Struthio camelus: one gene and its partner. The protein of the gene in region 1 binds, or shares a complex with, the protein of each later gene. Links are inferred from orthologs where the notes say so. Each region holds a gene or a part of one and is shown on either strand. Other genes may lie near its edges.

Region 1 (5,048 bases):
CACAACAAGTAAGACAGGCGTATTCTAGGTTTTTGCTTGCAAAAGGATACCTTTGCTGGGCCAGAAACAGGACGCAACAGCAGTGGTCTGGATCGCTTTTTGCTATGTTCCAGATTCTTTTCATGCTCAGTTTTCTGGACACTGTTCACTTCACATGGTCCATTTCCTGTGAACTGAAGTACATAAATAATGATTTCAATGCGCTCTCCTTAACCTGTGCAAAAAAAGAATCCTGTTTATCCAAACAGAACAGAGAGAATGTAGTTAAGTCTCTTCCAACCAATGAAAAAGAGGAAAGTTCACCTACTGGCTGGTAGGCTTTTCCATAATATTTTGCATTCCTAAAGCTTCTTTATGTATTCTACCTACAAACAGAGAGAACTCAATATTCTGCCTTACATGAAGCATACACATACCAAAGACCTTTTAGCCTCTGGGAGGAACTGTCCAAACTCAGACAGCAGATCCTCCTGCCCCCGGAACAGGTTTGCTACTTCGGTAAACACTTCTTCCTCTGACATGCCTCGAAAGGGTCGGCCTTTAGTGTTCAGCTGTTCTTTCTGAAAGATACACACAGATGTTCAATAGCTATAAAAACATACCTCATTATGCAAGAAAATTTCTTAACTCCATAGCAGCCAGCAGCCAAAACCAAAGACCCTAAGCAATATGAACAAACTTTACATAACATCAGCTAGCCCAAGGTTCTTATAGTGCATCCTATCACACAGAACATCATTAAATCAACTGAAAGTTAGTAAAGACAGATCTAGATACAATCATTTTATGCCTCAGAGCCCAGAAAGTTCAGCAATTTTCACACATTTGTCATTTCATGTGAATATCTACGAGGCAATTGTTGGACAAAGGCCAGCGCTTGGGAACTGTGCAAGCTTGTTCAATAGACAGATGTTTCATTTGACCACACTGTTCAAACAACTACAGTGCAAACCCACAGGCTTTTATATGGAAGACTTTTTACCTGGTAAGTATGAAGAATTTCTAAAAAGGATCTGTAAATTTCTGGATGGTCAAGGAAACGTGTTTTGATCTTATTCACATAACTGATGGCATTATTGAATTCTACAGAATCAGACTCCAAAGGAATTTGGGATTTATCTTCTTTGTATGGAAGCTGTTGCCTAAACTCCTCCGAACAATCACTATGGTTGTGCGAATTCTCCTGAGAGTAATGCAACAACAGCCCGCTGCCAGGGAGAGTGCTGGGAACAGGCTCTGAGGGCACCTAGTGGCACAAGATATGCAAGACAGTGACTTGTAAAGAAACACAGGTGCAAGTTCAACAATTTAGCATCAGTATTTTAGAGCAGTTTAGCTAAAAAAAGATTAACGCATAAAGGAGAAACAAAATAGATTTAATGTAGCCAATAAATTTCCTTATTTATGTCATTAACATCATCAGGTAAAAACGTCCCATAAGCCATATCTGGCTTACGAACTATCTGATTCATTAATGCTTCTGTCGCTACATTATCCACTACGCTTGAAACGGTAGAGAAGCCACGAATGTACCAAATAATCTGCACTGCAGCTTCTATTGCCACCGTTTTATTTCTGAAGAACTGTCAGTTCTAAGAAACATATTACAACACAGGGCCCCTTAAAGGTGCTAAATTTATGAGCAACAGAGGGATCTAAGAGAACTGAGATCTAAAAGAGATTTACTGCTACTAATTAGAGTTAAACCATTTGTTTGTAAGTAGGATTGAGGTGATAGCTCTATTTCAGATTCCACAACCACACAGGAAAAAGGGAAGCCAAGACCAATATGTATCTATTTATATTACAGCAGATGTCTTTCTTTGCAGGATTTGAACAACTGGATGACAACACCTGACTTTTTTTTTTTTGCCTATTGCCTAAACATATTTCTCATTTTCTTACTAAAAGACTGGAAATACGATTCTTCCGGGATTTTTTTTTTTCAAATTTGACATTATACGCTATGCACTGAGAACATATGTCAACATGTCAAGCCAGTGACAGTTTCAGTTTTCAAATTTAACTGAAGCATTTGGATTTGCAGTGGCAATTCATTCGGGAATTTCATTCCTAGTTTAGCAAGCTAAAGTAACAACTAGTTTGAGAATAAATATTTAGATTTATACTAAACCCATCCTCATAGACTTTGAAAACCACATAAAAACCTTAGATGTACACGTATTGCATGTTGCTTTGTAGCCTAAACTATGCAAGAGACCTATATAGGGATACATATACCACAATTCAGTTAGAGTAATATAAGTGCTTTAACCTACCTGACTAGTCAGTGGTGACTGTATACTTAACTTCCCATTCTTTGGAATTTCTATTCTGTAGCCCAAAGGGAGGAAAGCATTGAATCCTACAATGAGGTCGGGATGCTCATGGAACAGCTGTGAAACACGCCTGATTACTCCAGGGGTGTCAATGCTAGAAATGAGAGGAGTTTGTTACTTGCATCCAAACCAAATATACAAGTTAAACCCAGAAAATTACAGAGGTATGTCAAATGTCTGGTTCCTTAGAGATGCAATTTTTAACAAGAAAGTTTGGGATCCTCAGACCTAGAGATCAGCCCAAACAGAGGGAATGACTGCCATGCTCTGCAGCCTCCCACTGGAAACAAAACGTTCTCCACAGAGCAGAGACATGAGTGTGCAGGTTACCCAAAACAGACACGACAGCCATCGCCTCTAGGGCTGGCAGGTCACAGAGGGGCTCTGCGCTCAAGCTCCTTGTCCAGATCTGCGTTTCAGAGTGGGCAGTAAAAACAGATTTGCTTTTCCCTGTGCGTTTTGGCTCTAGGAAAGGATGGAGCAGACGATGCTGGGATGGATGGAGACCCTCCATCTCCCGAGTGTCTAGCTGACCGCGCTACAGGGGGACAGGACCAGCACGGTGGCCTGTGTGGCTGAGGAGGCGGAAGGCCGGCGTGAAGGCTGGGGGGACCCCGCAGGGCCGAGGGGCCCCCGCACAGGTCGAGGGGCCCCGCGGGGGGGCCCAGGCGTTACCTCTGGCTCTTGAACTCCTTCATGATCTCTAGGAAGCCGTTGTAGGTGGCGGGGTCGCTGCCGAAGCGTATCTTCACCTGGTCCAGGTAGGAGAGCGCATCCTCCACCTGCGGGGAGCAGACGCGGGTGAGACCCGACGGGACGGGGGAGGGCCGGGACCCAGGGCGCCCCGCGGCACCGGGGAGGGGGGGGGCACAGGCCCCGGGGCGCCCCACGGTCCCGGGAAAAGGGGGGCAAGGGCGCCCCACGGCGCCGGCGGGGGGGGAGGCGCCGGGACACCCCGCGGCACCGGCGGGGGGCAGGCCCCGGGGGCGGGTTCGGCCCTGCCGACGGGGCGGGGCAGGTCACGGCGGGGCGGGCAGGGCCTTCCCGGAGGGTCGAGGGCGGCGGGGAGCGGCCCTGCGGGCGAAGGGGGGAGGGGAGGTAAACGGCGACGGTCGCGGGGCGCCGCACTCACGTGAACCGGCAGCTTCTCCTGCGCCGCGGCCCGGCCGCCGCCGCCGCCGCCCCAGCGCGGGGCGCTGCCCCCCCGGCCGCCGCCGCCCCCCGCCGCCATGTTGGGAGTCGGGCAGCGGGCAGGAGCGCCCCCCTCCCCCCCCCCCGTCAGCGCGTGCGGAGCGCCTTGCGTCAGCGCGCACGGCGCCGCCGGGCCCGCCCGCCCGCCCGCGCTGCACGGAGCGGGGCGGCGCGGAACGCCGAGGCGCAGCCCGGCGCGGCTCGGAACCTTCGCGGCCGCCGTCGGCGCGGCCCGGGGAGCGTCGGCGCGCGGCACCGCTTCCGGCCGTTCAACCGTCATGGCGGGAGGCGCGCGGCTGAGGCGGCCGCTCGGCGGCCCCGACCCCGGTGAGCGGTGCGGTCGGGGCGGGTCACCGGAGGTGTGGGGCGGCGGCGGCGGTGTCCGGAGCTCCCGGTGTACCGGGAAGCGGTGCTGCTCGCAGGGGAGGAGGGAGGTTGAGCGCGGGCAGGCCTCGGTGCCGAGCGCCCGCTGGCAACTTCTGCTGATCCGTCGTTCGGCCGCCCTTCGCGGTAGAAGCCGAGTCCTGGTTTCGGCTTTGGTGTAGCTGGATGAAACGTGATTTTTTTGCTTACTTACCTGTGTTACGTGATTATCGCTGTGGTGCGTGACAGCTGTTGGACGATGCCAAGATATCAGAAGACTCTGAATAACCACAGTAAGGGAATTTTCAGCGGCATTTAATGTTGTAATTCTAAAACACTAAGGCAAAAGAATATAGCAGATGGAAAGAGAAACCTGTAGGCTCTACCCTGGATGCTTATGATGCCTAATCCTTGTCATCTTTGCTGTTTATATCACTGAGCAGATTTGAGAGAGCTTGTTGGTACGAATCAGGTTCCCAGAAGAGCTTCTTTGGTTATATTGTTGCTTGCTCAAGTTTCCCCCTTCTTTCTTTCTGGATTTTACTGTACACGTTGCCGTGATGTTCTGGAGGGGGTTATACTGAGGAGATGCGTTCTGAGGACAGTGAAACCGCTCGTGAATGATATAGCCGAGTTGTGTTGTTGCAACAAACCCATCTGCAGTTGGTACCATTCTGCTAGCAGTTGTGTATATGCACTGTGCGGCTAGTAAGGCACCTACAGAAAGCGAGGGCAGAATACAGGAAAGGACTTGCTGTGTGGTAGGAGACCACTTAAAACATGTCACTATCTTCACATGGTCCCTTGTCACCAGGCAGTTTGGATTCAGTGAAATTAGGTCACTGATGTTAAATGAAGAGGGAGGAGGAGGAGGGGGGAATAATGAGCCATATTATTTATTCTCCTTAGAACATTATTGATGTTTTACTTCGCAGAAACTTACGGAGATGTTAGCTTGCTTTGCCATAAAATTTGATGCTGGTATTTAAACCCAGAATGCTTTCCCCTTCTGTGTGCTCGAATGCTTACTACTGAAGTTCTGTAACTGCAGCTTCTTGTCACAATTATGATATACTACTTCTGGCTTCAATAATGTTCTACTTTCAGTTCTGGTAATCGTGTGGGATACATGTTCCCTATTGCAGTTTCTTATTG
Region 2 (5,048 bases), on another chromosome or scaffold:
CCCCAGCCACCTCTGTCGCCGCAGGCTCCGGGGCAAGCGGGCGCTGCAGCGGCCCCTCGCCGCCTCGCACCCCTACGACCACATCACGGTGGAGGCGGCGTTTGACAACCCCACCTACGAGACGGGAGTAAGCCCCTGCCCCCAGCGCCCCGCGCAGCGGCAGCGGGGGCCCGGCCGCGCGTGCCCGGGGGGGCTCGGGCAGCGGGGGTGCCCCCTGCCCGGCCCCCCCCAGCGCTGGCCCGTGTCCAACCCCTTGCAGTCTGCTTTCTTTGCAGGAGACGAGAGAATATGAGGTGTCCATCTAGGCGGAGGAGAGCCGGGCACGGCCGCTGCCGGCCCTCCTCGGCCCCCGCTGCGCCCGCGGAGACCCCCGCGCCAAGGGACCGGCCGGAGCCCGCCGGGGGACCCCGCTGTCACCCCCGGCACGGCCGCTGCCCTCCGGGGTGACACCTCGTTCACCACCGGATCGGGGCCCTGCATCGCTCCGGGCCGGCGGGTCCCATCCTGCCCCTCAGCACCCGCATGGGAATAACATGCCGCAGCGGAGGAGCCGGGGTGGGGGGGGCGCGGACGGGACCCCTGGGTGCACCGGGCCGGCCGGGGGCAGCGCAGCCGCCAGGAGCCCGGAGGTAAGGACACGGCTGCCCGGGGCCGGGGGCTCCTCGCCGCGGCGTGGCGGGGTGCCCCCCACCCCCCGTGCCCCCCGACGCAGCACTCGGGCCCCGGCGCCGGGCGAGGGGTGGGCAGGGGGAGCCGGGCACGGCCACCTCTGCACCCCCCTCTGCCCCCCGCCGCCACGTCGCGGCTGAGGCTTTGGACAGGGCCGGTGTACGACAGGGTCCCATCCTCAGCTGTGCATCCCCTTTTGGAGAGCAATTCCACCCCCCCCCGGTCCCCTCCTCCCCCCCCCCATCTTTTGGTCGTTTCATTAATAAAAAATGGTGTTTTAGAAGAAAACGTGGCAGTAGCGTGTTTCCCTGGGGCCGAGGGCTGGCCGGAGCGCTCCCCCCACCCCGCCAGCACCCAGGCTCAGCCGTGCACCTCGCGCCGACCCCCCCCCCACACCCGTGCCCCCAAGTACCCCCTCAGCCAGCATCCCCAGACTCCCCCCACCCTGCACCCCTCCTTGACCCCCACCCTGCAGCCCACTAACCCCCTGCACCCCATGCTGACCCCCACCCTGCACCCCTCCTTGACCCCCACCCTGCAGCCCACTAACCCCCTGCACCCCATGCTGACCCCCACCCTGCACCCCTCCTTGACCCCGATCCTGCACCCCACTAACCCCATGCTGACCCCGACCCTGCACCCCTACCCTGCACCTGACCCTCACCTTACTCCCTCCCCCTTGCCCCGCTGCACCCCCAAACCCGGCTCCCTGTCCCCTACACCGACCCCACCCCACCCTAAACCCCGCACCCTCCACTCTACCCCCTTCCCCCGCCCTAGCTCGGTGCGTGACAGCTTTAAGAGGCGGGGCTTCCGCGGAAATGACGTCACGGGCAGGGCCCCGCCCCTCCCGCCGGCACGCCGCGCGCCGCGCGCCCCCTGCCGGCCCGCTGCGGACCCCGCCCCGTTACGTCACCCATGGCCTCGCTCCCCCCCACGGCCTCGCTGCCCCCCACCGCCGCCGCCGCCGCCGCCGCCGCCGCGCCCGGAACGTGACGACAGCCACGCGCCTGCGCGCACCACCCTCCCTCCTCACGGCCGCGCCGCCCCGCCCCGCCTCCGCCGCGCGCCTGCGCCCCCTCCCGCGCGCCTGCGCCGCGCCGGCGCCCCGCGCGCCTGCGCAGGAGGGACGCGGGGCGCGAAAGGAGGAGGGGCGGGGAAAGGAAGGGCACGGGAGGAGGCGCGGCCCCCCCGCGCCTGCGCAGTGGCGGCGCCTGCGTCGTCGTCGTCGTCGTCGTCCTCCTCCTCCTCCTCCTCTTCCTCCTCCTCCTCCCCCTCCCCCGCCGCGCCAGGCCGAGAGCGGGAGGCGGCGGCGGCGGCAGCGGGGCGCGGGCCGCGCCTGCGCGAGGCGGGCGGGCGCGGGGAGGGGGGAGGAGGAGGAGGAGGAGAGCGGCGGGGCGCGGCGCGGCGTGCGCCTGCGCGGAGTGCGCGGCCCTGAGCGTCGGCGGCGGCGCCGCCTCTGTGTGTGTGCGTGTGTGTGTGTGTGTGCGGTGCGTGTGCGCGCGCGCGCGAGTGTGTGCGTGCGTGTGTGGCGTGTGCGCGAGGCGGCGGCGGGAGCGGGGCCGCGCCGGGCCGTCCTCCCCCCCCCCCACCCCTTCCCCCTCCTTCTCCCCCGGCCTTGCGCGGCATGGCAGCGGGCGCGGGGCCCCCCGCAGCCGCCCCCGGGCCCGGCAGGAGGAGGAGGACGGGCAAGCCGCAGCGGCCCGTGGGCTAGGCCCCGCGCCGCCGCCGCGCCCGCGCCGCCCCCCCCACCCCGGGGAGCCGCCGCCGCCGCTGAGGGGCCGCCCGCCCCCGTCTCGCTCCCCTCTGCCCGGTGCGGGGCGGGGTGGGGGGGCTCTCGGGGCCGCTCCCGGGCTGGATGAATGTGGGAGAAGATGGAGACCAAGACGATCGTCTACGACCTGGACACCTCCGGGGGGCTCATGGAGGTGAGGCCCGGCCGCGGGGCCGGCGGGCGGGAGGGGGGCGGGCAGGCCCGGCTAGGGACGACGTGGGGTTGCAAAATGGCGAGGGACCCCCCCCCCCAACCCCCTGCCGTCCCCCCAGAGGGGCCCGGAGCCCCGTGGCCATACAAGGAAGCGCGGAGGGAAGGAGGCGGCTCGCCCAATCGCCGGCAGAGGCCTTGCTGGACGCGGGGCCGGCGGCGGGCGGGCCCGGCCGGGGCCTTGTCCCCCACCGCCACACGCACCTTCCCCGGCGGGCCCAAGGCCCTCTCGTCCCGGCGGCCGGCTCGGAGAAGGGCACCCGGGGTCAGGGTCCGGCCCAGCCCCTCAGAGCCCTCTCTGTCTCTGTGTGTGTGCATGTGCAGCAAATCCAAGCCCTCCTGGCTCCCCCCAAGAGCGAAGATGGGGAAAAGAAGAGCAGGAGGCCCGAGAAGGAGCCCAGGCGAAGTGGCAGGGCCACTAACCATGATAGCTGCGATAGCTGCAAGGAAGGAGGGGATCTGCTGTGCTGCGATCACTGCCCCGCTGCTTTCCACCTCCAGTGCTGGTAAGGCTCGGCACTTATCTCCCTCCGGATCTGGGTGTCCCAGCCCAGGCAGCGCGTTCCCTCTAGCCAGGGCTGCACCACCACCGCCGGCAGCTCCTGCTTCCCGTTAGATCCATGCCTTGCACGGGGAGGGGGAAAACGGGGCCCGGCGCACCAGGCAGGAACAAAAAGGAGGTGCAAACCCCAATCGGCTCAGTCCCCGTGAGAAGTGATTAATCTGGAACAGCTGAGGTGAAAAGTCACTGCGCTGCCTTCTCTAGGGGCTGGGGACTGCGACCCCAGGCATTGCTGGGGGCTGTGATCCTCCTTTCTTTTTGTGCTGAGCAGTGGCTGAGAGGCCTAGAGGAGAAGTGAGGCTGCTAGCTGCGCGGCCTGGCTGCTTTGATACTGCCCGCACCAGGCCTTCCACCCCGCAAGCAGTTAACTTCCCCTCCTCACCCCTCTCAAAGGGTGCATTGCTTGGGGGGCCTCTGGAGGGTCGCGGCTAGGGGGAAGCTGCGGTCGCGTCTCTGCGCCAGGCCTGACGTTCCCAGCACTTCCGTGCTGCTGCAGCTGCTGGGAATAATGGAGGTTGCTTGTCTCTGTGTCTCCCTGCCTCACTGTTTACAATATGGCGACCTTCCTTTAAATTATATTTTTATTCTCAGCGCCATTTTGGCTGCAAATACGACTTCCAAACCCTCGCAGTGCTCCCAGAGGATCTGAAATGTGAAAATACCTTCCCTGTGTAAATCCAGGGCTCCAGACTTTAGAATCGGCCTGGTTTATTCCTTTCCCTCCTTTTTTCCTTCCTCCTGACGCTTCAGACCTGCTTGTCTCATCCACGGGAGTGACTCCTGTGAATTCAGAGTAGTTGGGTCTTCTTGCTTGGAGCTGTGTGGCTTTGTTGATAAAGGCAGATCTTTTTGCATGCAAATCTCGGGGCTGTGTTGGAGGTGCCAGTAGAGGCGGTTGCAAAGCAGTCGGTAGAGGCTGCAGTGGGGAGGATGGTAGAGGCTGCAGCGGGGAGGACTCTCGGTGCCTTGCCTCCGAGCTTCTCAAGCTAATAGCACAAAGCAACCTGGCAAAAGCACCTGAACTTTCCACCCTGAAGTTTTCTCTTTTCTGCATCGGGAGCCCAGATGCATCAAAGGCCGCCTTACCCGTATCTCTTGTTCAACAGTTGACACAGGCTGGCGGTTTGTGTTAAATTAGCACAGCCAGAGCGGATAATGGAGTGGAGGAGGGAGTGGGGCAAGTCAAACAGCTGGAGCTCGGGAGTGCAGAGTATTCTTCCTTAGGGGAGATTTTTTAACCGCATTCCTCTCTCTCTTCCATGCTTTGGAGCTTTGTTTGCTACCCTGTTACAGCTGTCTCCTCTCTTTATTTTTTTTATTTTCTTTTGCTTGGTGTTTATACTCTGCTTATATGCTAATTGCAGGTCTCTGAACACTTATTAAACTGATTACTGATACCAGGAAAACTGAATGTGCAGTCACAGTTCTGCAGGGAGTGTCCCGTTAGCAGTGTATAGCTAGACTTACCCAACAGTGCTCTACTGTGCAGCCATGACATCATCCCTCTTACCCTGAGGAAGTGCTACTGGTGGTAGTATATGTTCTCTAACGTTTGCTGAAAGATCACTAATATTTTTTGTCTGACTTTTTCGATAGGCCTTAATTAAGGTTTTGTTCTTGTACAGGACATAGTTGCTTAAAACTTGGTGTTTGCTTTCAGATGCTGTCAAAGTCAAATGGAAACACATTCTGAGCCTTCTCTAATTGAGGCTAGAGTGATTGCTAAAACTTCATGTTTAGATTTTGAGATGGAAGCGCTGTGACTAATGGTATAGCGTTTGCTAGTTGACTCTGTATCCTCGTTAATCCTAGCTGCAAATGAGTCCACTTTGC

Evidence for each region. The genes of interacting proteins can lie anywhere in the genome.
Region 2: the proteins of SIN3B (region 1) and PHF12 are in contact, whole or in part, in a cryo-EM structure (PDB 8BPA), measured with the Homo sapiens proteins. The link is inferred for Struthio camelus from reciprocal best matches to the Homo sapiens genes SIN3B and PHF12. Residues at the interface, in NP_056075.1 of Homo sapiens: Glu307, Phe311, Leu318, Glu322, Val323, Tyr324, Glu325, Asn326, Leu328, Arg329, Cys330, Ile331, Leu333, Phe334, Asn335, Glu343, Leu347, Pro350, Phe351, Lys354, Phe365, Lys395, Arg396, Glu490, Glu493, Leu494, Val497, Tyr545, Arg546, Ile547; in NP_001028733.1 of Homo sapiens: Leu20, Met21, Gln23, Ile24, Gln25, Leu27, Leu28, Pro30, Pro31, Lys32, Thr33, Asn264, Leu266, Val267, Leu269, Val271, Val273, Phe275, Thr276, Asn278, Arg279, Ser280, Arg282, Cys292, Pro293, Leu294, Pro316, Asn317, His318, Ile319.

The regions. Positions count from the first base shown.
Region 1 is NC_090967.1:5,368,095-5,373,142, reverse strand, and holds the start of SIN3B (paired amphipathic helix protein Sin3b), read right to left. Parts: upstream 3,607-5,048; 5' UTR 3,571-3,606; coding exon 3,472-3,570; intron 3,122-3,471; coding exon 3,015-3,121; intron 2,434-3,014; coding exon 2,280-2,433; intron 1,247-2,279; coding exon 983-1,246; intron 561-982; coding exon 417-560; intron 174-416; coding exon 51-173; intron 1-50. Other genes in the region: NWD1 (NACHT domain- and WD repeat-containing protein 1), read right to left, coding at 4,321-4,610.
Region 2 is NC_090957.1:16,782,850-16,787,897, reverse strand, and holds the start of PHF12 (PHD finger protein 12), read left to right. Parts: upstream 1-2,414; 5' UTR 2,415-2,531; coding exon 2,532-2,597; intron 2,598-2,977; coding exon 2,978-3,159; intron 3,160-5,048. Other genes in the region: SEZ6 (seizure protein 6 homolog), read left to right, coding at 25-127, 260-292.